Linked DNA regions of Oryzias latipes. The protein of the gene in region 1 binds, or shares a complex with, the protein of each later gene. Links are inferred from orthologs where the notes say so. Each region holds a gene or a part of one and is shown on either strand. Other genes may lie near its edges.

Region 1 (10,435 bases):
TATGCCCTGCCCTGCATATTTTCTACATAACAAATATGATCTTCTTCTTTTCGAATTGCTTTGTCTGCTCCCGATTCACGATTTGAAAAAAGAAATGCAATTAATATAAGCTTAATTTTCCTTAAACATCTCCGCCATCCTCTGAAAAATGATACAAGAACAAGTTAAAACACAATTTTCCTTGTAGTGGGTCTTTAAGAGCCCCAACTTTTGCCGGACTGCATACAGGCATTACATCGTGTGTTCTTCCTCTTTAGGAGTCTTCAGAGATGCTACCACAGACTTCACAGTGGATGCTCGCGCTCTCACCCAGACTGGAGGGGAACACATCAAAGCTCTGATCAGCAACCCGTCTGGAAGCTGCACGGACGCGCTGATCACGGATCTCCGAGATGGAACTTACAACGTGGAGTACACTCCGTACGAGGAGGGTGAGTGCAGCTGCAACGCGGTGAAAATTCAGCTGACGCTCCTTTTCCGCCACTGTACTCATCCCACGGGAATGTTTCAGGCCCGCACAGCGTGGAGGTTTGCTACGACGGCTCCCCGGTGCCCAAGAGTCCGTTCCGTGTCGCCGTCACCGAAGGGTGCGACCCGGCTCGTGTCCGCGTGCACGGTCCTGGACTGAAAACTGGCATCACCAACAAGCCAAATAAGTTCACAGTGGAAACCAGGTACATGGCAAAAACAGACCTCTGCAGAGCAGAAAATGAAATCTCTTTTTTTTTTTTTTAAACGTCCCTCACCTTGTTGTTGCAGAGGAGCAGGAACTGGTGGTCTTGGTTTGGCCATGGAAGGTCCATCAGAGGCAAAGATGTCCTGCATTGATAATAAGGATGGCAGCTGCAGTGTGGAGTATATTCCATATGAGGCAGGAACCTACAACCTCAACGTAACCTATGGAGGACAGCCCATCACAGGTCCACTCACACAAACAGACTTATTGTAAAATCTTGAATCATTTCTTCTGGGTTGATGGATCAAATCCTCATCTGAACCTCTTCTTGATATTTCTGTCTGCGCAGGGAGTCCTTTCACGGTGCCCGTTAGCGACACGGTGGACAGTACAAAGGTAAAATGCCAGGGACCCGGTCTGGGCAACTCTGTCAGAGCAAACATCCCACAGGCGTTCACCGTGGACGCCTCCAAAGCTGGAGTGGCCCCGCTGCAGGTCCGAGTTCAAGGCCCCCAAGGTGACGCATCCTTTTACCTGTAAATGCATGTAAAGCATGCCGGTTGTCTCGCTCTGTGTTGACGCCTTCACGTCTGTGTGGGAGAAGGTGTGGTCGAACCGGTGGAGTTGGTGGACAATGGAGACCAAACCCACACAGTCAACTACATTCCCACCAGAGAGGGACCGTACTCCATTAATGTGCTGTACGCTGACGAGGAGATCCCACGCAGGTAAAGCAGAGACGCACCTAAACGTTTAGCGACTCAGTTTGAAAAATTATGTTAAAATTCACTGACAAATGTCTACCTGTACAAACTGAAACGGAGATCAATTCTGGAGGAAAAAACTAATTTTAGCTTAAAAAAAAAAGATTTCCAGATTTTGTAAACTTGAATTTGCCTTTGCCTGCTCAGGCAGAATGTTTCAAATCGAGGCCTTCATCATGCTAGGTCATTAACTTTGAAATGAAATGTCTACATTTCCTGGGCAACAAATCTAAATGTTCCCACTTTTCACGTTTCTAACAGAAAAGATGACCTGGATTTTTCTCATCTTTTAGTTTATGCAGTTTTGGTAACTTCTTTTGATTTCATTTTTTATAAGACTGTGCAAAAGTTCAGGAAAAGCCAAAATCTTTTTAATGTCCAACTAGCTTAAAGTGGTACTCTCCACATAAATAACCTCCATTCCAAAGTAAATGAGTTGAGATTTTTAGAAATCTAGTTTATTTGCCTTTTCAACAGTAGATGTGGAAAAACTTTGAATGATTTGCTCAAAATTGGAATATGTTTTTCAAAGTGTTCCCATTGGTCTTTTAATTTTAAGTCTAACCTCCTCCCCCCCCACCACCACCACCACCACTTCCCCTCCCCGTTGCTGAGAGCTTGGAGGTGGAAGTTTATGGCCCACCCAGCATATTTTCTGTCACATATTTGATCTTTTTCAAACTGCTTTTTTTTCTCTCCATCTGATCCTGATTCACATTAATTTTTTTTTCTAAAGATATTATTTAAAAATGTAGTTTTAACCATAATTTTCTTTAAATATGTCCTCCATCAGAAAAATGCCACAAGAACATGTTAAAATAAAAAAAAACACAAGTTTCATCATTGTAGGTCTTAAAGTTCAAATGGAGAACACACAACAGCTAAATTAATTTGCTTGATCACACACCTTTTGTCAGCAAAGGTCACAGATTTTAATTTTGTCTTCAACTTGTAAAAAAGTGCAGTTTTTGTTTAAAAAAAAAGCTGCAAATCCAGTTTAGCAAACCTGTGGAACACCTGCCTGTTTAGACACCCTGGGAGATAAAATCATCTTTTTAAAATCTGATTCAAATCCATAAGCGCATCAAAACATGAACTAAACAATCTGGGCATCTCTAAACCGCATTTCCCACAAGAAGGCTGGGGAGGGGCAGATGTGAAGGTCAAAGTTGATATGAGTCTTTATAGTGAGTTAATCAGTAAACATCCAGGAGAAACAGCAGGTTATGGATAAGATAATACACTGATACAATCTCCATTTGCAACAGGAAACTTACTCCAGTCTTGTTCATGCATGATGCTGGATGACACATTTCTCATCCAAATGTTAAAAATGTTTTCATTTTTCAGCTCTGACTAACTCGTTGTTGTTCTTCAAACAACCCAAAAGACTTTAGATGGAAGTCTATCTTATTTCCTTTGTTTTTTCTGACTGACTTTATCCAGATTTTCTGAAATGCAGCACATTTGCAGTTTTCTTTTCAGAATTAATTTAACAATTACTGTTCACCTGTTCAATCAGAAACTGGGCTCACTCAATCCAGCTGATAAACTACTAAAGTAGTTGGTATCAAAAGGCAGTACAGGGTTGGAGATGCCTGATCTAAGCGGTCCGTATTCATCCTGTGCACTGTCATGAAATGAAATCCAGCTTTTTCCTGTCCAAACTTCACCTCATTTTTCTGTCAGCCCCTATAAGGTGAAGGTCCTCCCCACCCACGACGCCAGTAAGGTGCGAGCAAGTGGACCGGGCCTCAACACCACAGGGGTGCCCGCCTCCCTGCCTGTCGAATTCACAATTGATGCCAAAGATGCCGGCGAGGGGCTGCTGGCAGTGCAGATCACGGTGAGGACTCTAGAATAAGAGAACCGGTGGATCTGAGATTTCAGCTTTGAAGCCTTCGTCCTCTCTGCCGCAGGACCCAGAGGGGAAGCCGAAAAAGGCCAACATCCGGGACAACCACGATGGGACTTACCTGGTGTCTTATGTGCCAGACATGACGGGCAGATACACCATCCTGATAAAGTACGGCGGGGATGAGATCCCATACTCACCGTACCGCATCAGGGCTCTGCCCACCGGAGATGCCAGCAAGTGCACCGTCACAGGTGAGATCTTTATACCTGAGCCCTTACGGTCATGGAAATGAACACTTTGGGTTTTAGCTTCAACTGGATCAAATAAACCCCAGTTTTCTCAAAGTCTAGTTGGGTGAACTTGGAGAGGGTGTCAGAATCCAGGCCTTGAGGGCCGATGTCTTACATGCTTTCCAACCAACCTGAACAAACTATTGAGGCTCTTATTGGCTAAACACACCTGATTCAGGTAATTCTGCAGCAGACGAGACCGGATTCTTGGACAACCAGTAGGAGGCCGGGATCTTTAAATATGGAAACTTTTTTTTTCTTAATAGGATTTTGATGTTCTGGAAGCTTTGAGACGTTTTTCTTTTGATACCACCAGCAGCTCTAGATGCAAAGCTGAATCTACAGCTTTTTTTCATTCTCATGCTTTAATGTTTTAGACTCTTCACACTTAAAACTAAAAAAGCCAGAGGATTGGTTTTTGAGATTCTTTAAAAACGGTTTTAAAAGTTTAAGTTTGGAAAACATGGTTACATTTTTTTTTAAATATATTGAGTTGTACTCGAAAGTCTTAATAATTATTTAGACAAAAACTGGACTATCAGATCTAACTATTCTGACTTAAACCAGTCTAAAACAGTTCCTGTAATGCACACTTCATGACCCAATTCCTGAAATTAAGTTTTTTGATGAATTATCTAAAGAACAGACTTGAAGTCATCGCTCTTTATTGCTCTAATTCCTGACTTAAGCTTCTCAAAGATGATTTCTATTTAAATGGTCTCCTCTATGATTTGCAGTAGTTTTCTGAAGCGCTTTAGAGGCAAAGGTGACATCGGCTATCAGCCTATAGAGATAAAGCCTGGGATTAAGAGTTTGCTTCAGTTTTAAGTCCCACTCATATCAATTACCTGTTTTAAAAAACAAAAAAAACACATACTAAACATGTTTGCGTCTTTAAATATGGAAACTTTTTTTTTTCTGAATAGGATTTTTCTTTTCTCTGGAAATACAGTTTGAGATTTAAAGAGGATTTTGTAGAGCTGTGATTCAAACTGGAGTTGTTTACCTGAACATAATTGATGGGCTAAATCTGCACATCATTATGTAAAAAACAAATGAATCACTGCTCTTGTAGAAGGCTGCCTTTTTTTTTTTTTTTTTTTTTTAAACCAGCTTTGTACAGCTGCGTTCTAAGGTTCTCTATAAGAATTACCCCAAAGAGCCGGTCCTTCTGCTATTTATTTATTTATTTCTAGACAGTGCAGCACAGTGTTCAATAACATGTGTGCTGCAATACTATCGGCATTAAATTCAATTCAAATCTTTTTATGAGAAAAAAACAAATGTAATCATAAAATTCACTTTGCTAATTTGCTTAACTTAAAGCTGTTCTCTCCACCAAAACTGTCCAACAGATTCATAATGAATTTGTTTTGGGAAAGGATGAAGAGCTTTAAATGTCATATTTTTGTTGGGTTTGTTTATACATTTTTTTTTTTCCTGCATCTTCTGCTTATTTATGGTTTCGTGCATTGTTGTTCCTCCTGCTGTGCTCCTCAGTTACACATCCAAATGTATAAGCACCTCCATACACGCACACCACCCCGTCCTCCACGCTGCACACTCCACCATCACCGTTTGGTTCTCATCCAGGTGTCTGGAGCACAGTTGTTGCTGCTGTCCTCTCACACACGCCCACCTGACTGTCTTTTGTCACTTTTGTTTTTTTTCTTTTTTTTTTTTCTTGCTTCCCCGCTTCCCACCGTTCCTTTATCAGTCTCAATCGGCGGTCACGGCTTAGGTAAGCCCACTGAACCATCTGTGAAGGAAATGCTCTTCTGTCCGCATGGAGGATAGTGGTTCCAGCTTTCTTCTTCCTTTTTCCAACCCTCCTCCCCGACCTGTTTCTGTTCCCCTCTGGTAACTGTGCGTCGTCGTCCTCCTCTGTCTTGTTTTTGTTGGACAGACTAATAGACTAACAGAGCAGGTAAGATTGCATGGTGGAATGGCTCTCTGGCTAATCTAGCCCTCAGTTAAAAAACATGACGACTCTTAACAGAAGTTTCATTGGTAACAGTTTACAGTAGACTGAAATAACATGACTAGATTGACTTTAACAAATCCTCCAGGTTGTGGAATGTGCATGCTGCGTGTTTGAAGCCACAGTTCGTTTCTAAGCTGCTGCAACGTTATCGCATCTTTTTCTTAAAGGCGCTGGCATCGGCCCAACCATCCAGATCGGCGAGCAGACGGTCATCACAGTCGACGCCAAGGCTGCAGGAAAAGGAAAGGTGACGTGCAGCGTGTGCACGCCTGAGGGGGCGGAGCTGGACGTGGACGTAGTGGAAAATGAGGATGGCACTTTTGACATCTTCTACACAGCGCCACAGCCTGGCGAGTACGTAATCTGCGTGCGTTTTGGAGGAGAGCACATTCCCAACAGCCCCTTCCAAGTCACGGTGAGTGGTGTGGAGGCTTGGTATCAGGGCCTTGGAGGGTTTGGGTGGAGCAGGAACTGTGGGGGAACAAAACACTGATTAGACTTGGGATTAGAAATGGATAAAAACATATTTATCAAAAATACAGCCACAAAGGGTAAAAAGTGGGTATAGAAAACAAGATAAATATTTAATCTTTAGGGAAGATTAAAATACGGGGGAAAAAACTGGATGAGCAGTTCTATCTTTAGTCTAAAAACTGGTTGTTTATGGAACCATTTATCATCTGGACTGCCTCCGGTTACTATGATATACTGGTGTTTTGGCTTAGTTATTTTTTATGCAAATGAAAAAATTACCCGTTTGCAGGTATTTTTTTCTGTTATGTAACACACTTTGAAATGCGTCATAAGATGTTTGAATGAAGGGATGCCTCTGTTTAGAAATGTGGGAAACGAAAAGTTTACTCTTCTCATTTTACAATTTCTTTTTTCCTTTTTGATGTAGTGTTTTCTTACATTTTCTTATGCACATTTAATTAAGACACTTTTAGTCCTCCATACTGACCTCATATTGAATTTATAAGGTTTTCGATGTCCATGTAGCAAAATTCTAGGTTCCTTCAAAAACTACAATGGAGTCGGCCCTTTTTTTTTTTTAATATTCAATTTTGACGGCTGCTTTTGTTTCCCGTCGAGCCTTATTGTGTCTTCATCTCCTCACCCCCTGTCCCCCTCTCTCAGGCCCTGGAAGGAGCTCCCTCAGACCAGCTCATGCAGCAGAGCCAAATGGCCCAGTACTACACTCAGCAGCCCTGGGTACCCAAAACCTGTAGCATCTCTCATCCCCCTAACTCCATTTCTCAAACTTCCTTTCATTTAATATCATCCTTCATCCTTTCGTTTCATCCCATGTAGCAGCTCCATCATCCGTCGTCTCTCTTTGCAGGTGTTTCATGTTTCAGGGAGCTTTTTTCTTCAGACAGAAGCTGACATTTTGAAAGTCCATAATGTGGACTTGCTATTGGTTCCACATCTTTCAAAATGGCTCATTGTGGCTGTTTGTCCTTCCATCATGACTTGCATACGTGTTCTCCTCGCAGTGTGTGTTGGTGCAGTCATTACCGTTGTCTCTTCCATTTGTCATTTCATCTCATGATTTTCATCCTGTGTCGGTGTTTGGAAGTTCCTGTGTTCTTTCTGGGATGTGCTGGAAAAATGCGGCATTTTGCTGCACCCTCCTCATCGTTCATCTGTTCGTTTCCCAGGCAACAGACCGGCCAATGGGAATGAATGGTCTGGATGTGGCAGGGCTGAGACCTTTTGACCTCGTAATCCCGTTTACCATCCAGAAGGGCGAGATCACAGGTAACCTTAAATACTTGATGAAACCAGCAGTTTGCCATCTGCATATCAGGAGTGATGAAGAACATTCTCCTCATCTTCTAAAGGTGAGGTCCGAATGCCTTCGGGTAAGGTGGCCAAACCCGACATTACTGACAACAAAGACGGCACCGTCACCGTCAAGTATGCGCCTACGGAGGCCGGCCTGCATGAGATGGACATTAAATACGATGGCATCCACATCCCAGGTACCGCAGAGGCAGTTTGTAGAAGATGGACGGAACAGAGGCAGAATACCTACAGCTGTCATCCTGATATTCACAGGAAGCCCTCTGCAGTTCTACGTGGACTACATGAACAGCGGAAACGTCAGCGCCTATGGCCCCGGCCTCATCCACGGCACCGTCAACAAACCTGCCGTCTTCACGGTTGATACTAAAGATGCAGGAGAAGGTACGGAGCTGTTTTTTGTTTTATTCTTTTGATTGTATTTTTTTAAAACAAGACAAACTCGTAGCAGAACCCCACTCCTCAGAACACGAGAGGCGTCCAAAAGAATTAAACAAATCTAAAATATAAATCTGTGGGGAGTCCACCACATTCTACTTTACTTTTGTTGTAAAGTTATGAAATCAAAGACTGTAAATTAAAGAAAATGTAAACATAAGAAACCCATTTTCTGCCCTGGCAGGAGGTCTTTCTCTGGCCATCGAGGGTCCATCCAAAGCGGACATCAGCTGCGTGGACAACCAGAACGGGACTTGCACCGTGTCCTACCTGCCTGTTCTGCCGGGAGACTACAACATCCTGGTCAAATACAACGACAAGCACATTTCCGGAAGCCCCTTCTCTGCCAGGATAACAGGTGAGGTTCAAACATGGGGCAATTAAAGTCCCACTCTGATCATCTTCTGATCTATTCTGAAAGCCTCCCTGTGGTCTTTTTAAATGCGTTTTTAGACAAAATAAAAAGTCACTGTAATTTTTTTAAGTAGTTTCCTTAAAGCAGCACAAGTTCATCAGAAGTTCAGCTGATTTTTGGCGGGAGTGCGCTTGTGGCCCGCCCAGCGTATTTTCTACGTAACAAATAAGATCTTTTCAAAAGCAGTTTCCAGCTTCTCCCGATTCACAATTTGAATAAATAATCAGAAATTTAAGCGTAATTTTTCTCTGCATGTCCTCTATAACCAGAAAAATGCCACAAGAACACGTCAAATACATCAAAAACACGATTTTCATTGGAGTTGGTCACAAACATCATTCAGAACTTAGGATAGACTTGGAGGAGTTTGTCTGATCTGTGTGGCTCTGATCTGCAGGTGACGACTCCATGAGAATGTCCCAGCTAAAGGTGGGTTCAGCTGCAGACATTCCTCTGGATATTGGCGAGCTGGATCTTAGCCAGCTGACCGCCTCCCTCACCACGCCCTCCGGCCGCGAGGAGCCCTGCCTGCTGAAGATGCTGCGTAACGGACACGTGGGTGAGTGCGACCTTTTGACCCTAGCGAGGAATAAACCCCAAACACAGCTGTTGCTGTAATGCTCCCGTTATCTATGTTTGCAACAGGAATCTCATTCATTCCCAAAGAGATGGGAGAACATCTGGTAAACATCAAGAAGAACGGTCGCCACATTCCCAGCAGTCCTTTCGCCGTCATGATCAGCCAGTCTGAGATTGGTGATGCCAGCCGGGTCCGTGTGAGCGGGCAGGGCCTGAGTGAGGCAAAGACCTTTGAGCTGGCGGAGTTCATCATCGACACTCGGGATGCAGGTAAAAAAATTGTCTCCAAATAAGATACTTTATTTTGAAAAGACGTTTCGACGTTCACACTGAACATCCTCCATCAATGTTCCCTGAAGGGTATGGCGGCCTGAGCCTCTCCATTGAGGGACCCAGTAAAGTCGACATCAACACAGAAGACCAAGAAGACGGAACTTGTAAAGTCATGTATTACCCCACAGAACCAGGAAACTACATCATCAACATCAAGTTTGCTGACCAGCATGTACCAGGTGACCAGTGTGAAAACACGCAGGAGTTCAGAGGTGATGCTTCATGCTGCAACGCTGATCATCTGGTGTGTTCCTCTTAGGGAGCGCGTTTACAGTGAAGGTGACTGGAGAGGGCAGGATGAAGGAGAGCATCACCAGGAAGAGGAGGGCGGCATCTGTCGCCAACGTGGGCAGCCAGTGTGACCTCAACCTCAAGATCCCAGGTGAGACAGAGAATCCTCTGCAGATGGATTAAATGCTTCCATGCGTGTTTTCTGGAATGAATCTGGTCTTCGGTCTTTCAGAGATCAGCATAGCGGACATGACTGCTCAGGTGATCAGCCCGTCGGGTCAGATTCACAAGGCGGACATCATGGAGGGGGAGAATAACACCTACTGCATCCGCTTCGTCCCCACCGAGACGGGAGTGCACACCGTGAACGTCAAATACAACGGCATGCACGTACCTGGCAGCCCCTTCCAGTTCACAGTAGGACCCCTGGGAGAAGGCGGGTCGCACAAAGTCCGGGCTGGAGGTCCAGGTCTAGAGAGAGCAGAGGCAGGAGTACCAGGTTGGTGTGGTGTGCAGGTAAGCTTGAAGTGCTTTGGTTCCAGATCATCCTCTGACTCCTTTGTTCTCTGTAGCGGAGTTCAGCATCTGGACGAGGGAGGGCGGGGCCGGAGGACTGAGCATTGCTGTGGAGGGGCCCAGCAAGGCGGAGATCACCTTCGAGGACCGCAAAGATGGTTCCAGTGGCGTGTCTTATATTGTCCAGGAGCCTGGTGAGAGGAAAAAATGTGGAATGAAATTGAAATAATTGTTTGAATTTCTGCTAGAGATTCATCACAAAAGCACACTATTTTAAATCCCTGCTGACATCACTACCTACTGCATCACTACCTGGGTTTTGGTTGGTGAGAAATCAACTCGAATTGTTCTAAGTGTTGAAGGCTGCAAACCCCCGTTCTGACCTGTTGTCTTACCTGCAACAAACTGAGCATGCTCAGTTCAGGGTTGTAAAGAAGTGATGGGAAGTTTGGACGGCAGCAACGGAGTTTCAACACGATCTCTGAAAAGTTTTTTTTATTTCTTCAGTTTTGTCTTCTTGTTCAGTTTTTAAGATCAAACCCTTA
Region 2 (10,535 bases), on another chromosome or scaffold:
TTGGGTCGTGGCGAGCTACAGCAGCAGTCTTTGGAGCCATGCAGCCAGACTCTACGCTCTGCACAGCACAGAGCGTTACTGTGGAAAGTGCATCCACCTTCTGACCTCTGGACACACCTTACTGGCTTCGCTGCAGCGAGCGGTCGTCTTGGCCTTCGCAGTAGGGACTGTGGCTTCTGCCTCCACCGTCTATGAACACTTCCTATTCCACAAAGATGCTATAAAGTTCTGGACTCCGCTGACTCTCTGCTACACTATGCTGGTGGTTTTCACTCAAGGTGATGATCAGGGAAAGTCTCGTTGATGGAAGGAAAATATCCAGTGCGCAAACAAATGTACCATCGAAGCTAAAATCTGCAAAAATAACAGAAATTTTAAATGTAATAACTAAAGAGGTTATAGAGAAATCTTTAAAGGGGAAAATAAAATCCCAAAGAGATTTTTCAGGTTTAGAAATATTTTACATTTTGAATCAGACATACAGAATGAAGGATAGGATTTTTTTTTACTGTAGCAGTTCAAGTAAAAACAATTTTATTACCCAATGTAAAATTGTATAATACTTGGCAAATCCTGAAAATTAAGCAATAAAAATAAAACCTTCCTATCATAAACAAAACAAGATGGCACGAATGTTTTGAAGTGAAACTCCGTCTTTTGTCTGCAGAAGCTCAGCAAAAGCAGGCGGGGATGGAGAAGCTCCTTCACACTGTGGTGATGCGGTTGGGAGGCCTGCTGGTGCTGATGCTGACAGTGGGGAACTGGTCGGATGTCCTTCACGTCCTCGTCTCTTTTTGGGGGGAAGCAGTCTGTCTGCTGTCCTCCCGGGATCTGCTGCAGGCTGTGCTGCAGGTCTGTTTGAATCACCTCCATTTGCTGGATACGTGTCCGACTGCAAAAGTGATTCCTGTGTTTCATGACTCGCTTTCAGGATGAACAAGAGACCAGCTTAAGTAACAACGAAGAGACGTCCAGCCACAGGACATGAGAGAAGAAACTTCGGTCAGAAGAGACTGCATCAAAACACTTTTAGTTACCCTTAAGTGTTGATGAAACAGAAATCTGTTGGTCACTGCAGAGATGTAAATGTGAATCTTGGTTACTGGTAGTTGTTTTGGGCTGAAGCGCCAATAAAAGCAAATATTTAAAAGAAAGAATAATCTGTGCCACAACTTCTTGACCTAACAATGATTTGGGAAAACATGTTGAGTAACAATTGGCATGTGCGCACAACAGTCTCTGGGATGTTCAGAAATGTTCTAAATGCAACCACTTGGTTTGGTGTTCATTTTTCCATGACTGGATATGCAAAAGCTTTGATTTTTCATACAATTTTTAAGACTATTTGATCTTTGCAAAGATGTAAAACCTTGTTTTTAGACATTTAAATTTTGCAAGATTTAAAGTAGTTTTAAATTCTCTTTGCTGTACACTTTTCCAAGTGTCTGTCAGAATCAGCCCAGTCCCAAATTGTCTCTGTAAGAGGATCTAAAATTAAGGACATTTTTGATAAAAACAGTCTAAACCCTTTTGCTCCAAGCTCCCGACATTTTTTTCACATTTTGTTTTAACATTCGTGTTTTCCGCTTAATGTACTGGTTATTGTCACTTTGTTCAAAATCATCTTCAATTAGATACATAAAAACTCATAAGATACAAACAATTTGCTTAGAACTACCAATAAAAATTAGAAGGAGCAGAATTTCCAGCAGAAAATGCAGGGTTGAATACTATATTGCTGAATACCGTATTTTCCGGACTATAAGTCGCTCCGGAGTATAATTCGCACCAGCCCAAAAATGCATTATAAAGTAGAAAAAAACACAGATAAGTCGCACTGGACTACAAGTCGCATTTTGACGGGAAATTTGTGTGACAAAATCTGAGACCAAGAACTAATAAGTTCCACAACCTCATATGACACAATCATAGCAGACTGTTTATCTCATAATTTCACAGTAATTCTTTCTCATACTTGTTTATTTATTCCTTTCATGAAGCATCATTGTCCAACTAATACTCTGTTTTCATCCTGTATTTGTAGAAACAGTTGTCATTTTTATTGCATTTCTGAATCTATGAAATCATTGGAAAATAAAATATTATGTTGTTAGCCTTCAAGATCTTAATGTAAAAAAAGGTTTGCTGATTCTCTGAGTCATTTAACATACTCTTAACACTTAACATACCTCAAACATCAAATTTAGCCAGGAACATCATCTCTGTTCCTCACAAATGAACATAACAGGAGGGTTAACAATGTATTTATTTCAATTTAGTTCTAATATAAGTCGCTGCGGAGTATAAGTCGCACCCCTTGCCAAACTATGAAAAAAATGGCGACTTATTGTCCGGAAAATATGGTAAATGCTGCTACGCAGTCCTGAGAAACTGTTTAAACAACCAGGAGCGCACAACGCAACAAAGCACCCTCCCCTGCCGCGAACACAAAGCTACGATCCTGGCCGCACTGCTCCTAGACTTGTTGTTGTGTCTTAGCAGTTGGCCACACCGAATAAGCACTGACGTCATTGCTCCGCCTCCCTCCTGGAAATGCTGTCTGGAATTGAATTATGGGACATGTTTCGCACGGTAGATGAAAAATGAAAATGCAACCCCATCTTTGCATTATCGCTTTAATTATGTCACAGAATAAGCGGTGTTGAAGAACAAAAAGGAAAAAGCATTTTGGTGGATTGATTTTTCTTTTAAGATTTGAGTCAACAAAAGCAGGTTGATTTTGAAAATGAAAAAGCATTTTTGGTATTGACTTTTATTTTTAATTATGCAACAGAAAGGCTTCCATAAAAACCAGCAAGCTTCTGCACCAAGGATTCCGCATGTGTTTCAATGGAGGCAAAAGTCCTGGAAATCCTGGAATATCTTGAAAAGTTCAAGGATTTGAAGGAGCAAAAGTCATAGCTGGAAAAAGCTGAACTTTTTAACATCTGAATGGTTAAAATAGCTGATAGATTGTAGGAGCTAAGTGGCAAAAAATGGTTGAAGATACTAAAATAAAGAAAGAAAAACAGGGAAACAATTGGTTACCAAATACTAGTTATTGGCTGTATGACATAACTACATATTTGAAGTTATGCTTTCTAACATTAGCTTTTTTCCTCACAGGTCTTGTGTTGAACTCCTTGTTTCTAGATTTTTGGAAACATGAGGAAACACAAAAAATAAAGGTAAAGCATTGTTGTGTGTGCGTTTTTGCTTGGACTTTGTTCAGAAGAATCACACCTGTAGTTTACTACTTTCTAGTTATTTATTAATCAAGATTAGTCTTCTCCAATTTTTTGGCTACCTTTTTATGTAATTCTACAATCTGTTACCTCGTAGAGTTGACAAGTAAAAACTTTTGTGCATTTTTATAATTAATAAACATATTTTGAAAGTAATAGAAAAAACCAACTGTCTTTGCTGTGAGGCGTATCAACTTGACAAATGTTTGACCCCTGATGTTCGATGCAACAAAAAAGATTGAAGTTTCTTCAGCTGAACAGACACAATACACTGAGGAAAGAATCACAAGGTTCTCTTTCTGGCAGCAGCAAAAAGAGTTTCACTTTGCAAACAGCATTTTTGAGCAATGACACAGCATGTAAAAGCGGGGGCTGTGATACCTCCATTACTGACTTTTTTGAGACGTAGACACTTGCAGTTTTGCAGCTCTTCTCCATAGAGGAGTTTAGCTGCATGTGTTTTCTCGTGTACAATGTGTTTTTCATTGTTTCTTTGGCTTCTTTACTTCTCTTAACCCCCCCCCCCCCCCCCTTCTTTTTTAAGCTGTAAGCAAAAGGAGTCCAAAGGCAGTGATGAGATGAAGACTTTTGTGAGGCATGTGGGGTGTTGAAACGTGGAGGTCCGGGAATTGTCTCCTCTCTGAGCATGTTGTGTCTCTACTGGGCATGCTCCCCTCTGCAGTCATGACATCACAGCAGCATTCCTTTCCAAAGAGCTGGAACAACAGAGACCCCCATCTTTCTCCTCATTGCCACCTCCTGTTAACCCTCGCCGTGCTTTCCCTTTCTATATAAAGCGTGAAAGCTGGTTTTATCACTCCATTCTTTTTAGCAAATTTAGAAAAAGTCAGGCTATAGGGCTTTGGCTGCTTGGTCAATTTATAGATATAAAAAAAAAACTTGTGGTAGTCCTTATGGATGGGCTTCATTCAGACTAAAACGTCTCACAATGCCTTGATTCAGTGCACTGTAATCCTGCTCCTGTGCACCAAAGCTTCACCAAAATAGTCCGAGGAAGTTCACCCCAATCCTCTGCGCTCTGTGCTGGATGTCTTTGTGGCCCCAGAAGAGGCGATGCCAAAAGACGCTGATAGTGAGTGAAGTGATATGATTTTGTGGGGGGAGGGGAAGAAGGAAAGAGGGAGAAGAAAAACGAAGGCAGACCCAATGAGGGCTGCAGGACCAACAACAACACACAAGGTTTCAGAACAACAAAAGCTTTTAGGCTGCAAAAGTCACGTCGAGTCACATCCTGCTGACCTCCAGAGAGAACCATCTGGGAGTGTTTTCTACGGTGCCAAAGCAAATACCTTTGTGACACTTCGTTTGAAAAAGCGCTCCTCTATCTTCTGCATGACTTCAGTGCGGTTGCATAACCTGCGGTGTGTGTGTGTGTGTGTGCATGCATGCATGCACGTGTACGTGGGCTTGCGCGCTTGCCAGCCTTTCATAGTGAATAAATGTGTCATGGTTTTTACTGCACTTCGCCAGAGATTAACTGTTCACCTTTTACGGTCTGGAGGGAGGTGGCATTGTCAGGAGGAGGAGGAGGGGTCAACAGATGGTAAAGCTGGGGAGGGAGGGAGGGAGGGAGGGAGGGAGGGAAGGAGGGAAGGAGGGAGGGAGATAAAGGAGGAAAAGGAGTGGCCTTCTGGAGCCCCTCTCCACCAAGAGTGAAGTCTTCTGCTCGTGGGAGGGAAAATAAACCAGAAGGTTTGAGATCCAGAGAAGGAGAAAGAAGGAGACAAAGGGCTGTCTCTGAGCAACCTTTTCCCCACAGGTACGTATCCATAACATGCAATACCGACTTTTACAATGTGTGCTTTTCTTCCTCATTATTTTCTCATTGTGAGAAGGTTCTCTGAAGCCAAAGATGAAGGAGCTTATTCACACTAGAATTACTGATTAAATGACTTGTTTATGAATATTTTTTCCTGTGTGATGAAAGCAGAAAGTTTCCCAAAGTGAGTCACAACTGTTGACCTGTTCTCCTGTCAGTGTGGATGAGAGCTTCTGTCCATCATGGCATCAGCAGCTCCCCCAAAAAGGGTGGTGTCTTCTGTCTTCATCACTTTGGCGTCTCCTCATCGGGCCACTGTCACACAGCGGCAGCCCTCCCTCAAAGCCTACAGCTTACAGCTGGGCGCAGAAACCCAGGACACCAGCCCGGCTGGCGGTTTACCCGGCCCCAGACACAGGACGGAGGACCACTCACCCTCCGACACCCGCGGTTCTGTAAACGGCAAAAGCTGGACTCATGCAAAGGCCAGGACTCCTACACCTGCACAAAGCGGACAACAGGAAAACGCAGACCAAACAAAGAGATGCTCACCAGGTATGTAGTGCCAAGTATCTTTCTTTTTGAAATGCATTTAACAAGATCAATCCAAAGGCACGGTGCACAAAATGTTCTGGTATGATAAAGTTTAACTCCGTAATCAAAAGTCTTACAAAAAGAACAAGTGCAAGTGTAAGAAAGGAGGATTTAGGAGGAGTGGGGCACACAATCTGCAGCAGGAAACTATAATTAGTGTGCAAATTCGTTATTTCTGATGATAGCTAACAACTGTTGTGGTGACAAGAGGGGAGCTATGAAGTGGTGAATGGATAAACAGGAAACAAACCAGACCCGTCGTGAGTTTGTGAGTCTATCGGTGACTAATCACACCTCCTAAAGTGAGATTGAGCAATGTTGTTTTACAACACCTGAGTGGCAGAAATGGAAGTAAACTGAGAGGGACACAAAAAGACAGATGTGTAACTTTCAGTGGAGATCTGATCAGTGCATCAGTCGTCCTGGCGGTCTGATGCGACAGGCAGCATGAAGTGGATTCTGCTCCTTCTGTTCCTTTTTCTCAATCCTACATGAAACCTGATTGGGCCTTTGGGTCTTCCGTCTGCCCATGAGCACCGAGGTTTGTTTTCACAGTGATTACAGGAATGCAGGCACTGTAAAGTCAAGAAAACTTTGCACTCTCATATGCAGAGAGCTGAACTGTTTGCAACACGCGTGTTCAAAGCAATCATGACGTCATCATTGCATCAGGAATCAGCCAACCTTGACTTGATAGACTTGGTACCTGAGAAGCTGAAAACAGTAATGAAGCAATATCTAAAACAAAGAACAAAGTAAAAAAAAAAAACTGTGATCCTATGGGTTCATAAAATGTTGTTATAGAACTCCAACTGCATGTGTAACTTTGAATAGTTTGTCTTGGCTGTTCAGACCATTGACTGTATAAGAGAACTGGACTGAGTGAGAGTGACATCACCCATAGAACATGACTCCAACCAAATGAGAACAATTCAGTCACCACTCAGTGGGTCTGAGTCATCATTTCTGTGTCAACCACTCTCACCAAACAGGAGCCAGCTTGATGGAAGTCCACACCCCTAACACTTGAAAGTGGGCTCAGGAGAATCTGTCAATCAAACATTTCAGATTTTAGACGTGGGGGCCGGTGGGCACCGCATGTCTTTTATTGAGGCAATTGATTGGTCAGTTCATAACTTGAATAACTAGCAATAAAGAGGTAAAAAAAAGAGGATTATCAAGAACAGGTTCAAAAAGGTATCAGACCCAGAATGGTTCTTCTGACCAATAGAATGAGTAACAGCTGTTAATTTCTCTAACAACGTCTATGGGATTTTGGCTTCTTGGAACCATCAGGTACTTCCTGTTTGGAACGCCACGGGGAAGAGTCACTCAATCCAGCAGTCAATGGTAGCAACCGCTTATTCATCTTACTGCGTCCTCTGCACACACCAGTTATTTAAATAGCTTTACTGACCTTCCTTTGAATACATTATCTCATAGTGATTCAATGTGAATTTCACGCATTGAGGCTTTGGAACAGATATGTATGTTAGCTGTTTGGAGAAATGCCTCTTTATTCTACGCTGACAAGGTGCAGAAAACTCTTTTATTTGTCCGGACTTGGGTAAAAATTAAAAGGGAAATACTTCACTGATCTTCATCCGACATTAACTGCTCAAGGCTAAACTGAACTGAAAGCATCAAAGAGAAATGTCAATCTGCTGGCTCAATTGATTACTCAATGTTTCACATTTTGTGAAGGAGAGATGTCTGTCTTATTAATATTTAGTTTTCTATTTTAGCAGGGTTTTTTTTCTTTTTTTTTTACAAAGTTTTTAAATGTATTTGTAGAACAAACTGTGAATTGTAGATCTGTAAAAATCTAAACAAGAATTTTAAATGAACTTCTGAAATATCTCTATTTAAAGGTTTAGCCAATTTAAAATGTTTTTGGACCAACACATCCAACTTTAGGAAGATTATAACAATGGCCAAGTCAGTATTTGTCTTTTCTATTTGAAATGTTGAATGGGTTTGCAAATAACAATTTGTTTAACATTTTAAATTTAGGTTAGCAATATCTTAGCCTCCTAGTCTTCTGAAAAAAGTCCACGTCAAAGCAATGCTTGTTCTTAATTTTTGTGTTTCCTGATGTTTCCAAACCATCGACGTCCCGCTGTCAGCCCACCCGAGAGATTAGAGAACTCGATTGAGATTGTTGATCACAAAAACCTCTAACGGTGATTTTGCTGTTGATCCTGTTTTCACTAAATGACATCAAACTAGGACGTACTTTCTTGCTTCTCATTAGGGCTCTTTCTTCCTCCTCCTCCTCCTCCTCCTCCTCCTCTTCTCGATGCATGGCGTCCATCTCCAGAAGATTCAGCTCTTCTGCCAGCCCCTCCAGCACAGACTCATTCTCATCATCGACCCTTTCCCCCACATCAGCAGCCAACATCCGAGAAAAAGGTACTCGAGTTTATCCTTCAATGTTACTTTCCAAATGTCCAGTTACTGTTACTTCAATTGACAACAACATGATGAGATAAAAGCTGCAGTACAGATCTGGAGATTTTCATTTCTACACGGCTGTTGTATTTGTGAACCTGCTTTGACATCATCGGGTTCAAAACGTTTAGCTGAGGGTGCAGAGATGCATGGATGCAGACATCCTCTGCTCTCTGCATTAATATTTGATCCTTTGTAGTAGGATTAGGGGATGTCATCTGGACTTGGTTTTAATGTTGGAAGACGTTTCACCTCTTATCCAAGAGGCTTTGTCAATTCTGAAATAGCTGGTCTAAGAGCTGGTTAACGACTCAGGCAGAACTGGTTTGGTTTGTTTAGGTTTCAAAACACTGCCGTAGATGGATGGAAGAATAAACCTGAGACCACCATTCTTATTAAGAGGAGGTTAAGGATGCTGGTCTCAGGTTTATTCTTCCATCCATCTACGGCAGTGTTTTGAAACCTAAACAAACCAAACCAGTTCCACCTGAGTCGTTAACCGCTGAAAGAGACGACCAATTTGGAGAGGGAGTCACTGACTCCCCAACCCCCAGCTGAGGACAAAGGTATATTAACGACCCAAAACCATGTAGGCTAAGTGGACAACACCTCCAGTTTCAGGTCTGACTCATCCCCCATGAACGCATATATACCAGCTCTTAGACCAGCTATTTCAGAATTGACAAAGCCTCTTGGATAAGAGGTGAAACGTCTTCCAACTTTAAAACCAAGTCCAGATGACATCCCCTAAACCTACTACAATGGAACCAACCTGGATGAATGAGAGTCTTCATAGACATATTTGATCCTTTATGTTTTTCGCCTGCATAATTTAATATAAACACTTTACAACCCTTATGCTATCTTGTGGGGTCCAGATGACCCCCCCGCCCCCCCCTTACATTGAGGTGTTCTCCCCACCATGACAAAGGTGGATAAAGGTGGACAGATTTCATGTAATCCATGGTCACCAGTGAAGATCACAAATCATTGAAGAAAAAAGGTTCAGAACACTGTCTAGTGGGTCTAGATGACCCCATTGCCAACGTTAACATGCCTCTGAGGCACTTTAACGGTGGCAATGGGGTCATCTAGACCCCACAAGATAGCACAAGGGTTAAAAAAAACAACAACAAACGAATAGGAACAATTTCATAAACTGTGGCTTTTTCAGAAGATTTATATAATCTTGTGACGATGTCAAGCATAGCTTCATCTTGTTAAAGCAACATTTTTTCATGTATGCACTGCATATAAATAAGTTCAAATTCTTTAAGTTGAAACATTTTCTTTAAATAAGCAAAAGAAAAAAAGTCTGCCAATGGGGTGAGAAAAATTGTCTTACCAAGAATTCCTATTTTAAGAAAAAGAAATTCTAGTCACTGAGACATGGTTTTTGCAAACTTAGATTATTTTGCTTTTGAAAATACTTTTTTGATAAGATTGTTTTTTGGTGTAAAGTCTATATGTTTGTGATTTTCATTAAAGGTGGAAACAATCACACCACCTAGTGGGATGAGAAAAGAGGAAGAAGCCAATGGAATGAGAAACAGCGGTGGAGAGGAGGCAGTCAGGGAGAGCGGCGGTAACTGCGATCTGTTTGCTTTTGTGTGCACCCGCACATCGCTATGACCTACTTTGACGCTCTGCTCCCTTTGCAGACTTGTGCGGCTTTTGTCGGAAACCAATAGCCCTTTTTGAGACTGCCATCGATGCCCTGAACAGGACCTACCATGCTGGTTGTTTCCAGTGCAGATCTTGTCACATTCCGCTGGCTGGTGAACTCTACTACAACAAAGCAATGATCCCCATCTGTCAGGAATGTTACCAGGTAGGTCCACGTCAGCTAAACTTTACAGTGATACACGGGGGCAAAACAGAACAAAACCTTATGTTATCTGTTTCTGGGATTGATAGCTCCTTCCATTTGAAGGTAAAACCAAACATAAACATTTCTTTCTGCTCAAGATAAGGAGACAAAAATATCAAATAGCGACTGATGAAAATTGTATTTTCTGTGGTTTGAACATGTTCCTATAGCGTTTTTCTCATGATGAAAGAAAACTAGGTTTAAAATAGCATTTCTGAGTATGTCACAGCACTTAAAAACAGCACAATCTTATCTAAAAGACCACTGGGAACGCTTTTACAGTAAATTAAAAGATGATCTGAGTGGGTCTTTTAGAAAAGAACAATAACTCATGTCTAATACTGTTATGGATATTTAACAAGTCTTTTAAAACCCTTTTTTTCTATCTCAGGCCAGTTTGGAGCTTTGCTGGGCATGTGGGGAGGCCATCATAGACGACATCATCCATGCACTGGAGCGACCATACCACCCTTCCTGTTTCACATGCACCACATGTCATCAGCAGATCGGTGAGCAGACTTTTGCTCAAGGAGAAGTCGGAGAAGTTTACTGCCTTTTGGACTACTACAGGTATGAAGCAGTAAGTCATTAAGTG
Region 3 (10,435 bases), on another chromosome or scaffold:
CTCCTGAAAGGAAGTAACCTTAAACTCATGTGACCAAATGACAAATGAGGACAAAGACGATTGTTCCCAGAATATCTATCTTCAATTCAAACCAAACTTTATTTATAAATCGTGCTTCTTATGTATTGCGCAGCTAGAGGTGCTTTACATTTAAAGGGCCTATCTTATGCTACTTTTAAGGATTTTTTTAGAGTAAACTATATCCATATATCTTCTTCTTTCTCTTTCGGCTTTTCCCATCAGGGGTCGCCACAGCGAATCATCCTTTTCCACCTCACCCTATCATGAACATCTTCTACCCTAACGTTAGCCAACTTCATGTCCTCTGTTAAGACATCCATGTATCTCCTCTTTGGCCGTCCTCTTGCCCTCCTGCCAGGCAGCTCCATCTCCAACATCCTTCTACCAATATATCCACTATCCCTCCTCTGAACATGTCCAAACCATCTCAGTCTGGCTTCTCTGACTTTGTCGCTAACACAGGCAACATGAGCCGTCCCTCTGATGTACTCGTTCCTTATCCTGTCTAACCTGGTCACTCCTAAGGAGAACCTCAACATCTTCATCTCCGCTACCTCCATCTCAGCCTCTTGTCTCTGTCTCACTGCTACCGTCTCTAACCCATAGAGCAGAGCTGGTCTCACCACTGTCTTGTACACCTTTCCTTTGAGTCTTGCTGGCACTCTTCTGTCACACAACACTCCTGACACTTTCCTCCAACCGCTCCAACCTGCCTGCACTCGCCTCTTCACCTCTTTTCCACAATCCCCATCACACTGAACTGTTGACCCCAAGTACTTAAACTCCTGCACCTTCTTCACCTCAGTCCCCTGTAACCTAACACTTCTACCTTGATCCCTCTCGTTCAGACACATGTATTCTGTCTTACTACGACTGACCTTCATGCCTCTTCTTTCCAGAGCAAACCTCCACCTCTCTAGCTGTTCCTCCACCTGCTCTCTACTCTCACTGCAAATTACAATGTCATCCGCAAACATCATTGTCCAGGGAGATTCCTGTCTTACCTCGTCTGTCAGCCTGTCCATCAGCATAGCAAACAAAAAAGGACTCAAAGCTGATCCTTGGTGTAGTCCCACCTCCACCTTGAACTCCTCTGTCTGACCTACAGCACATCTCACCACCGTCATACTTCTCTCATACATGTCCTGAACTACTCTGACATACTTCTCTGCCACTCCAGACGACCTCATACAGTACCACAGCTCCTCCCTCGGCACCCTGTCATACGCCTTCTCTAAATCTACGAACACACAATGCAGCTCCTTCTGACCTTCTCTGTACTTTTCCATCAACATTCTCAAAGCAAAAATGGCATCAGTGGTGCTCTTACGGGGCATGAAACCATACTGCTGCTCACAAATCTCCACCTTCTTCCTAAGCCTGGCTTCCACTACTCTTTCCCACAGCTTCATTGTGTGGCTCATCAACTTTATTCCTCTATAGTTGCTGCAGTTCTGCGTGTCACCCTTGTTCTTAAAGATCGGGACCAGAACGCTTCTCCTCCATTCCTCAGGCATCTTCTCACTCTCTAGAATCCTATTGAACAACCTTGTTAGAAATTCCACTGCTGTCTCTCCTAGGCACTTCCATACCTCCACAGGTACGTCATCAGGACCAACGGCCTTTCCGCTCTTCATCCTTTTCAGAGCCTTCCTAACCTCATCCTTTCCAATCTCTGCTACTTCCTGCTCCACAACAACCACATCTTCCTCCCTTCTTTCCCTGTCATTTTCCTCGTTCATCAGCTCCTCAAAATACTCCTTCCATCTTTTCTGTACACTCTCCTGGGTTGTTAACACCTTTCCATCTCTGTCCTTAATCACCCTTATCTGTTGCACGTCCTTCCCATCTCTGTCTTTCTGTCTGGCTAGCCTGAACAAGTCCTTATCTCCTTCCTTTGTGTCTAACCTGTCATATAGCTCATCGTAAGCTTTCTGTTTGGCCTTTGCCACCTCTCTCTTCACTCTACGCTGCGCTTCCTTGTACTCCTGTCTACCTTCCTCAGTCCTTTCTACATCCCACTTCCTTTTAGCCAACCTCTTCCTCTGGACGCATTCCTGTACTTCCTCATTCCACCACCAAGTCTCTTTACCGTCTTTCCTCTTTCCAGATGACACACCTAGCACCTTCCTACCTGTTTCCCTGATAATCTCTGCTGTAGTTTCCCAGTCATCTGGAAGCTCATCCTGACCACCCAGAGCCTGTCTCAACTTCTGCCTAAATTCCTCACAAGTTTCTTCATTCTGTAGCTTCCACCACTTGGTCTTCTTTTCTGTTTTCCCTCTCTTCTTCTTCCTGACCTCCAGAGTCATCTTACACACCACCATGCGGTGCTGTCTGGCTACACTCTCTCCTACCACCACTTTGCAGTCATTAACCTCTCTCAAATGACCTCGTCTACATAGGATGTAGTCCACCTGAGTACTCCTACCTCCACTTCTGTATGTCACTCTATGTTCCTCTCTCTTCTGGAAGTAAGTGTTGACTACAGCCATTTCCATCCTCTTCGCAAAGTCCACCACCATCTGTCCCTCCAGATTCCTTTCCTTCACACCAAACCTGCCCATCACCTCCTCATCACCTCTGTTGCCCTCACCAACATGCCCATTAAAGTCTGCTCCAATAACAACTCTCTCTCCTCTGGGGATACTCTCTATGACCTCATCCAACTCACTCCAGAATCTCTCCTTCACTTCTAATTCACAGCCAACCTGTGGCGCATACCCACTGACTACATTCACCATCACCCCTTCAATTTCTAACTTTAGGCTCATCATCCTGTCTGAGACTCTTTTCACCTCTAGAACACTGTTTACAAACTCCCCCTTCAGAATCACTCCTACCCCGTTTCTCTTCCTATCAACACCATGATAGAACAGTTTGTATCCTCCTCCAATACTACGTGCCTTGCTGCCCTTCCACCTTGTCTCCTGCACACACAGTACATCTACCTTCCTTCTCTCCATCATGTCTGCCAGCTCTCTGCCTTTCCCTGTCATTGTGCCAACGTTAAGAGTCCCTATTCTCAAACCTATGTTCCTGCCTTTTCCCTTCTCTCTCTGGCCACGGACCCTTCTGCCTCCCCTCTTTCTTCCACCAACAGTAGTCAAATTTCCACCGACACCCTGTAGGTTAACAGCATCGGTGGCGGTCGTTGTTAACCCGGGCCTCGACCGATCCGGTATGTCTAAATCTTTCTCGTGGATGATTCGCATGGTTATTTTGGCAATTTTTACGCCGGATGCCCTTCCTGACGCAACCCTCTCTATTTATCCGGGCTTGGGACCGGCACAGAAGTTACTGGCTTGCAACCCCTGTGGCTAGATTGCAACCCCTGTGGCTAGATCCATATATGTGATAATATATTACCTTTGGCACACTTAGGAACTATTTTTGTAAATGAAATTATTGGTTATTTTCACAGCTCATTTTCTGAAGTAACACAGCTCATTCTTAGAGTCACTGCCGTCCGCTCCATGTGGGTGCCGCCCATTTAATGACGTCAATCTAGAGTCGTCTTCTGCGTTTCACCCACAAAAACAAGCAACATCTAAAGTTTTGCAAAGATTGATGTCCATGTTGTGCACATCAAATGAAAGCATTTAGCCGATCATCGCTAGCTCAGTGGAGAACGTGAGTGTGTGTGTTAGCCAGGGGGCGGGGCTGGCAGCACAGACTCTTCCTGGAAGGGGCTGTTCTTCCTTTGTGACGTCACAATGTGAGGACCCGCTCATTTTCGTGGGTTGGGAGGGGCTGGTGCTAAAATCTTTGCAACACACTCCAGAGCAGAGTATTCTTGTTTCTGTGATAAGGAACTATCAAATGCTGTATTTGTTTGTGTTTCATTCTCATTTATAGTTTTTTTTTCTTTCTCCTTTGAGAAACTTTATTGTTGTTGATCCATTTAAACTCAAGTCAGGATTGAGCCTCTTTGGACATACAAGCAAAGGCTTTTCAATGCTTTACTTTCTTAGTTTGATCTCTAGCAAATTTCAAAATTCGGTTTCAATAAATTCCCCTTTTTACTTTTACGGGGGAATCATGCTGATAAACGTGTTTTTCTCTCTTAAGGACTTTGCGTCACTGCCTGAAAAAGACAAGACAGCTCTTGGTGAAGGAGGATCGACGCTCAGCGGCGGTCAGAGGGCACGCATCTGCTTGGCCAGGTACTGACTGCACAGCTGTGCATCAGTCTGGGCACAGACCTTTGTTTTCACCAAATGTGGGCACGAATGAAGTAAAAAAAAAAGTTAAAAAGTCCAATAACATTATTTTAAAGTAACATGTGAAGGATTCAAACGGTTTGGGAATTACTAAAAGTTTATTTAATATTTTAGGAATATTAATTTTTAATCATTTTAAATTACAAAGGTACATTTATAATCCAGCTGCTTTGATTATCAGTGGAAATCCAGAGGGAAAAAGGAATTTTTCGCTGTTATCAAAATAGTCTGTCCCTTCACAGAGGATGGTTTGCTTTCTGTTTTGATTGTGTGTGAAAAAACTCCTTAAAATGTTTTACTGTTTATGCAGAAACAAATCATCAGACATGTTCTCATTTTCCTGTGAACGATTTATTAGTGTTATGTTGTAGCAGTGATTTGTGGCCTCTGATTGTTTCTACCCTCACTGGAAAGGGTCAGCTGGAATGATTTACTGTATTTCCTCACCTTTCCTTTGCTTCATGTTTAGGAACAGCTGTGCTCATTGTTTTCTCTTTACTTCAACTCTTATTTTTAATGTTTTTCCTTTGTGTTCTTCTCTGACTGGCTGCATTGGCACTCTGTCTTCCAGGAGTGTGTATAAAGATGCAGCCCTTTACCTGCTGGATGCTCCTTTCACCCACCTGGACATTGCAACAGAGAAAGAGGTCTTTGATAAGTACGTATGCCGACAGAAACTCTTTCAAGCAGCAGTGGGGTGGGAGGGATGCTAAAGTTCAAGGTTAAGGTTTTCTCTTGTTGTTTCATGTTTATTAGCTGTGGTGAGCAGTCGGTCTGTAAGAATTACACTCTGATGAAATGATGTCTGGTGTCATGAGACACCTTATTCTGCATTCCAATATGTGCTTTTCAACAGAAACCGTTTGTATATTTTGCTAAAGATCCATTTGAGCATGCCTCATCCTCTTTCCACAGATGTGTCTGTAAGCTGATGGGCTCCAAGACCCGTGTTGTGGTCACCAGCAAGCTAGAGCACCTCAAGCGTTCAGACAAAATCCTCATGCTGCACAACGGAGAGTGTTACTTTTATGGTACATTTTCAGAGCTGCAGGCACAACGCCCCGACTTCAGCTCCCTCCTGCTTGGTCTTGAAGCTTATGACAACATTGTCGCGGAGCGACGCTCTTCCATTCTCACAGAAACTCTTCGCAGGGTCTCGGTTGACGAAACCGCTGGCTTCCGAGGCCCGGAAGCACTTCGCCAGTCGTTCCAGCACGCGCCACCTCAGGGTCACAACGGGGTTGATGGATACCCTGAAAAACGCAAACAGTCTCTCATCCTTAACCCCATTGCAGCTGCTCGCAAAATCTCCTTTATAGGGAACTCCCAGCAGACAGGCACACTCCAGCCGTCACTCATGGAGGAGGGTGGCAATGAACTTTCCGACAGAAGATTCTCTGTGGTGCCGGAGGATGATCAAGTGGAGGAAGCACTTCCAAGGAGTAACCTGTACCACCACGGGCTGCAGCACCTCGGTGGACAGCGGCGCCAGTCCGTCCTGGCTTTCATTACTAACGCTCAGGGCCAAGACCGCAGAGAGAGGATGCAGTCATCGTTCAGAAAAAAGCTGTCTGTCACACCACAGTACGACCTGGCAACAGAGCTGGACATCTATGCACGGCGCCTGTCCAAGGACAGCGTTTTTGAGATCACAGAAGAGGTGGAGGAAGAAGACATGGAGGTGTGCCCAATACACAGGCTTTTTTTCATGTGTTATCAAATGCAAACAAATGTTCTTCAGTCAACATCTGGGTACAAGTGTCTCTTCTGTTTTCCACAGCAATGCTTTGCAGATGAGCGTGAGAATGTCTTTGTGACTACCTCGTGGAGCACTTACCTCCGCTATGTTTCCACCAACAAAACCCTGATATATGTCCTTATTTTCATTGCTATTGTTTTTGCCATTGAGGTAAGATTCAAACCCTTTTCAAGTCCATGCTTTTAAAGTTGTGAGCATAATATGAACATCTCTGTCCTTGTCTCCACTGATAGGTTGCTGGTTCAGTCATTGGTATTTTTCTCATAACAGAGTGAGTGTCAGTGTTCCTCAAAACTGAAATAAAACTCTTCATTGTCAAACAGAAATCTAGTTTTCAGAGTCTGAGATATTTGTTTTGGAGTGTTTGTTGGAGTTTTTTGGAAATGTTTTCCTTTTCACATTATGTTTAATTATGAACCTTATCAATGGTAGGTTTCTAGAATTAAGTGGATGTTTTGAACCTTAAGACAAAATGTGATCATTTTTCCGTTGAAGCATAGCGTGACTTTCTGTCTTCTGCTCTGTTTTATCAGTAAAGTCTGGAGAGATGGTGCCAACCCAAACTCACCCAACTACATCGATGATCAGCCCATCAATTCCTCGTCCCCCCCGGTCCATCTGGCAGTTATTGTGACTCCGACCAGCGCCTATTACATTATTTACATCTTTGTGGCCCATTCAGACAGCATACTGGCCCTCGGAGTCTTCAGGGGCCTTCCTTTGGTGCACTCACTGCTCACCGTTTCCGAACGACTTCATGAGCAGATGCTGAGCGCTGTGCTGCGCGCCCCCATGTCCGTGCTCAATTCCATTAAAACAGGTGCCCTTTTCTTTGTTTTGATGTCATATTTACCACTTTTGAGTAACCACACTGACTTCCATTCTCACTGAAGTGGGGTGTAAGGCTAACTTGGATATGTCTGTGTGTTTTAGCTCGCATAATGAACAGATTTACCAAGGACATGGCCATTATTGAAGACATGCTGCCTCCTATGCTGTTTGACCTCATACAGGTATTGTACAATAAAAATGTAACCAAAAATTTCAATGCAGGCAAAATCCTATCTTTGTAGGTTCAAATGAAGATCAAAAAAAGGGTTTTGGTGCTGGTTGGTGCAGTCACCTCTTGCTTGTTCTTTGTTTCTTAAAACTATCCAGTGCAGTTAAATTCATCTGCAGTCAAAATGCTCTTATTTTGTTCAGAAATATGGCGGATGCAGGATGGGGACTTGAACATGACCCTTGGTCTTTAATTGCATTTCATTCTTAAAGGCTGGAACTTGAGACTTGACTCCAAACCATTGACTGTACATGAGAACTGGACTGAGTGAGTGGGACGTCACCCATAGAAAAGGATTTACTTCCGTCTCCAACCAAATGAAGTCATTTTTTTCTTTTTTTAAAATACTGATGTCGACATGCTGGAACCAGACACCATCAGTAAACAGTGATTGGTCCAAATCAGACTAAGTCATTGTTTCTATGGCAACCACTCTCACCAATAAGGAGTGAGCTTTACAGAAGTTCACACCCCTACCTCTTGAAAGCGGGCTTCACAAAATCTGCCAATCAAACGTTTTAAATGTTGAATGTGAGACCAGCTGTTTTTATTGAGGCTCCTGATTTCTCAGTTTATAACTTAAAAAACTTGTAACAAAGAAAAAGTATCATGGAGAAAATAAGAATCATCAAGAACATAGTAAAAAATGTAGCAGGGCCAAAATTATTATTCTGACCAGCAGATTGACTAAATAACAGCTGTTTATTTCTCTATAGAAGTCAATGGGATTTTGGCTTCTAAGAACCAGCAGGTACTTCCTGCTTGGAGCAACAAGGGGGAGCAGTCACTCAGTCTCTTTCTCATAGAGAGTCAATGATCTAGACTAGCTCTGTGACTTGTGAACAGAGTAGTCAACCCCTGATTGGAGGATTGCAGGTTTGGCTCCCGCCCATGAATCAAAATTTCCTTGGGCAAGACACTGAGCCCCACAATGCTCCTGGTGGTGGTTACACGTTGGCGCCAGTGTTCAGTAGTTGAGCCGCCATCAGTGTGTGTGAATGGGACTGTAACTGAAAAGTACTTTGGGCCTTTGAGCAAGGTAGAATAGAACTTTACAAGTGCACACCATTTATTTCATTTGATTCCATTTCAATTCAAATACAGATTGGGGAGTTGATTTGAACTTGCAGGTACTGTAGGTCTTGTAAGCATCTTTGAAAAAGGGGGTAAGTGAAAAACCTGCAAGCATTTTTCTTCATTCAACACCTTCCACCACCGTTCAAGGAGGCCCAAAGTGCTGTACATAAAGTTACATCAACAAATAATATGACGATAAAACAAAGAAAAGGATCAAAACAATTAAACAAGAGTTAAAAGCATAATAAAAGGTCACCTAGGCAGATAATGAGGCACGTAAGTGGAGGAACAGTTTCTTTAAAACTGTCCAAGAGGGTAGCTTCTATAATAGCCTACAACAACCTAAATAACATTCCTTCCTTCATTTTTTGGATGCCTATGTATTCTTTTATTCTATCCATAAAATGCAAATGCAAAGAAACTATTTTTGTGTCTCATTGCTGGGTACTGACAGCCACATGATGTCTAGTGCAGAGTGGACTAAATTATGCTTTCTGATGGAACAAGTACTTTGTTTGAACCACATTTATTTGGTCATCTTTTATTTTGTCGTATATGTGGTTTTGAATTGTAACTTATGCTCTCCTATCACACTCTTTCTCTCACCTTAGTTAACACTACTGGTCATCGGATGCATCTTCACCGTGTCCATCATGCGACCTTACATCTTCATAGCTGCCATTCCCCTGGCTGTCATATTTGTTGTCCTGAGGAAGTACTATCTACGAACAGGACAGCAGCTCAAACAGCTGGAGGCTGAAGGTAAATAAAGGTCCTTTGTCTTAAAAAGTGTCTCTAAACTGCTGCTGCTGATGATGTGTCAGTACCAACCCCCCGTCTTCTGTCTCCAAAATTAACACAAAACAAGTGTCAAATAATCCAGTTCCTCAACAGATTGCTGGTGTCAGAAGGGAGAAAATTCCTACTGACTCCCATGTTGGAAGTGGGGTTTATTAAGAAACATATACCATCTTTTCCGCAGTATAAGTCGCAGCAGCCTAAAATACATAATAAAGAAGAAAAAATCTTATCGCCACATCACCAGTCAAACAATGCAAAACATTGTGACTTATACTCCAAAAATATCATATACAGTCGGATGCTTTTATTTTTAACTAGTCAATCATTTTACTGCTCAAATGTGGTATTATTTGGGTCAAGCAGGGCCACACTCTGGTGCAGAGGTTAGCACTCTCACCTCACAGAGTGAAAGCCCTGGTTTGTGTGGAGTTTGCACGTTATCTCTGTGCAAGCGTGGATTTTCTCCTGGGACTCCAGTTTCCTCCCACAGTCCAAAAACCTTCTTCATAGGTTAACTGGTTACTCTAGAGTAGGGGTGGGCAACCATTTTGACTCGTGGGCCACAAAGGCTTTTTAAATTTGTCAGAAAGGCTGGATCAGGAGCAGATCTGTGTCGTGTTTTGATAATCCACCATGAAAAATTTCATGGAGTCTGGACAAAAATAGGAATCAATTTTGATTAAAATTTTTTAGATACACATTAAACAGAACATTTTAGAGCTATTATTTTAAAACTGTTTTTTTTTTCATTTTCCCACCAATTGCACCAATGATGTTCTTCATTAAAAACACGAACTTTGAGAAATGCTGCGTTCGTGTGCTTTTGGAATGATTGGAAACATGACTGCCCCACTTGAAAAACATACATAAACATTAGAAAAACTCTTCCAACACCACATGAATACAGAATGTATTTCTGCACCTAAAACACGTATTTGTCGTCAATATATTTGTAGAGCACCATCTATGGGGGTACACCATCATCACAGAGAAAATAAAACATTAATAAGCATAATCAATGTTTTATTCCAGTTTGGTGGGCCAGATTAAACAGTTTAACGGGCCGCATGTTGCCCCCGGGCCATGGTTTGCCCACCCCTGCTCTAAAGCGGCTCTAGCTGTTCATGTCTTAGTGTGTGTGGGAGTGATTGTCTTGGGCACACATACACAACATTTCTTTTGGACTGGATGGAAGATAGAAGAGACAGAGAGTGATGGATGTTAGAGATGGAGGACAGGGGTCCAAAAAAGGGAAAAACGGAGCTCAAGAAGCTGGAGAATGATTAAAGAATAGGAGAGGGTACAGTTCCGAAAAAACGCATGCCTTTTTGATTGGCAGGTGTGTGGATCCTGGTGGACAAAAAGAGCTGAAAACGCTACTTTGTCCCACTATTTTTGGAATGTTCCAGAAGTGGGCAGAGCAAACTGCCCATCCCACTTCAGGGTTTGTTTTTGCCAGGGAGAATCCAATGGGTGACGTCAGACATTTTCTGG

What was found.
Region 2: the proteins of filamin-A (region 1) and fblim1 are in contact, whole or in part, in a crystal structure (PDB 4P3W), measured with the Homo sapiens proteins. The link is inferred for Oryzias latipes from reciprocal best matches to the Homo sapiens genes FLNA and FBLIM1. Residues at the interface, in NP_001104026.1 of Homo sapiens: Met2207, Gly2208, Thr2263, Arg2264, Gly2267, Ala2268, Gly2269, Gly2270, Leu2271, Ala2272, Ile2273, Ala2274, Val2275, Glu2276, Gly2277, Pro2278, Ser2279, Lys2280, Ala2281, Ile2283, Phe2285, Cys2293, Glu2306, Phe2311; in NP_001337080.1 of Homo sapiens: Lys7, Arg8, Val9, Ala10, Ser11, Ser12, Val13, Phe14, Ile15, Thr16, Leu17, Ala18, Pro19, Pro20.
Region 3: the proteins of filamin-A (region 1) and cftr are in contact, whole or in part, in a crystal structure (PDB 3ISW), measured with the Homo sapiens proteins. The link is inferred for Oryzias latipes from reciprocal best matches to the Homo sapiens genes FLNA and CFTR. Residues at the interface, in NP_001104026.1 of Homo sapiens: Thr2263, Gly2267, Ala2268, Gly2269, Gly2270, Leu2271, Ala2272, Ile2273, Ala2274, Val2275, Glu2276, Gly2277, Pro2278, Ser2279, Lys2280, Ala2281, Ile2283, Ser2284, Phe2285, Asp2287, Phe2311; in NP_000483.3 of Homo sapiens: Ser10, Val11, Val12, Ser13, Lys14, Leu15, Phe16, Phe17, Ser18, Trp19, Thr20.

The regions. Positions count from the first base shown.
Region 1 is NC_019865.2:4,652,956-4,663,390, forward strand, and holds part of filamin-A, read left to right. Parts: intron 1-257; coding exon 258-431; intron 432-511; coding exon 512-674; intron 675-759; coding exon 760-920; intron 921-1,025; coding exon 1,026-1,193; intron 1,194-1,280; coding exon 1,281-1,404; intron 1,405-3,129; coding exon 3,130-3,286; intron 3,287-3,359; coding exon 3,360-3,549; intron 3,550-5,305; coding exon 5,306-5,329; intron 5,330-5,739; coding exon 5,740-5,987; intron 5,988-6,709; coding exon 6,710-6,784; intron 6,785-7,233; coding exon 7,234-7,333; intron 7,334-7,416; coding exon 7,417-7,557; intron 7,558-7,633; coding exon 7,634-7,762; intron 7,763-8,000; coding exon 8,001-8,174; intron 8,175-8,628; coding exon 8,629-8,790; intron 8,791-8,876; coding exon 8,877-9,080; intron 9,081-9,169; coding exon 9,170-9,322; intron 9,323-9,402; coding exon 9,403-9,525; intron 9,526-9,606; coding exon 9,607-9,873; intron 9,874-9,946; coding exon 9,947-10,084; and 1 more. UniProt on the Homo sapiens protein: Promotes orthogonal branching of actin filaments and links actin filaments to membrane glycoproteins. Anchors various transmembrane proteins to the actin cytoskeleton and serves as a scaffold for a wide range of cytoplasmic signaling proteins.
Region 2 is NC_019863.2:1,776,314-1,786,848, reverse strand, and holds the start of fblim1 (filamin-binding LIM protein 1), read left to right. Parts: upstream 1-4,891; 5' UTR 4,892-5,025; intron 5,026-5,243; 5' UTR 5,244-5,267; coding exon 5,268-5,580; intron 5,581-7,873; coding exon 7,874-8,031; intron 8,032-9,558; coding exon 9,559-9,655; intron 9,656-9,731; coding exon 9,732-9,901; intron 9,902-10,331; coding exon 10,332-10,510; intron 10,511-10,535. Other genes in the region: tmem82 (transmembrane protein 82), read left to right, coding at 1-278, 668-852, 932-988. UniProt on the Homo sapiens protein: Serves as an anchoring site for cell-ECM adhesion proteins and filamin-containing actin filaments. Is implicated in cell shape modulation (spreading) and motility.
Region 3 is NC_019864.2:3,332,082-3,342,516, forward strand, and holds part of cftr (cystic fibrosis transmembrane conductance regulator), read left to right. Parts: intron 1-4,092; coding exon 4,093-4,187; intron 4,188-4,815; coding exon 4,816-4,902; intron 4,903-5,159; coding exon 5,160-5,925; intron 5,926-6,024; coding exon 6,025-6,153; intron 6,154-6,236; coding exon 6,237-6,274; intron 6,275-6,536; coding exon 6,537-6,823; intron 6,824-6,936; coding exon 6,937-7,016; intron 7,017-8,751; coding exon 8,752-8,902; intron 8,903-10,435. UniProt on the Homo sapiens protein: Epithelial ion channel that plays an important role in the regulation of epithelial ion and water transport and fluid homeostasis. Mediates the transport of chloride ions across the cell membrane.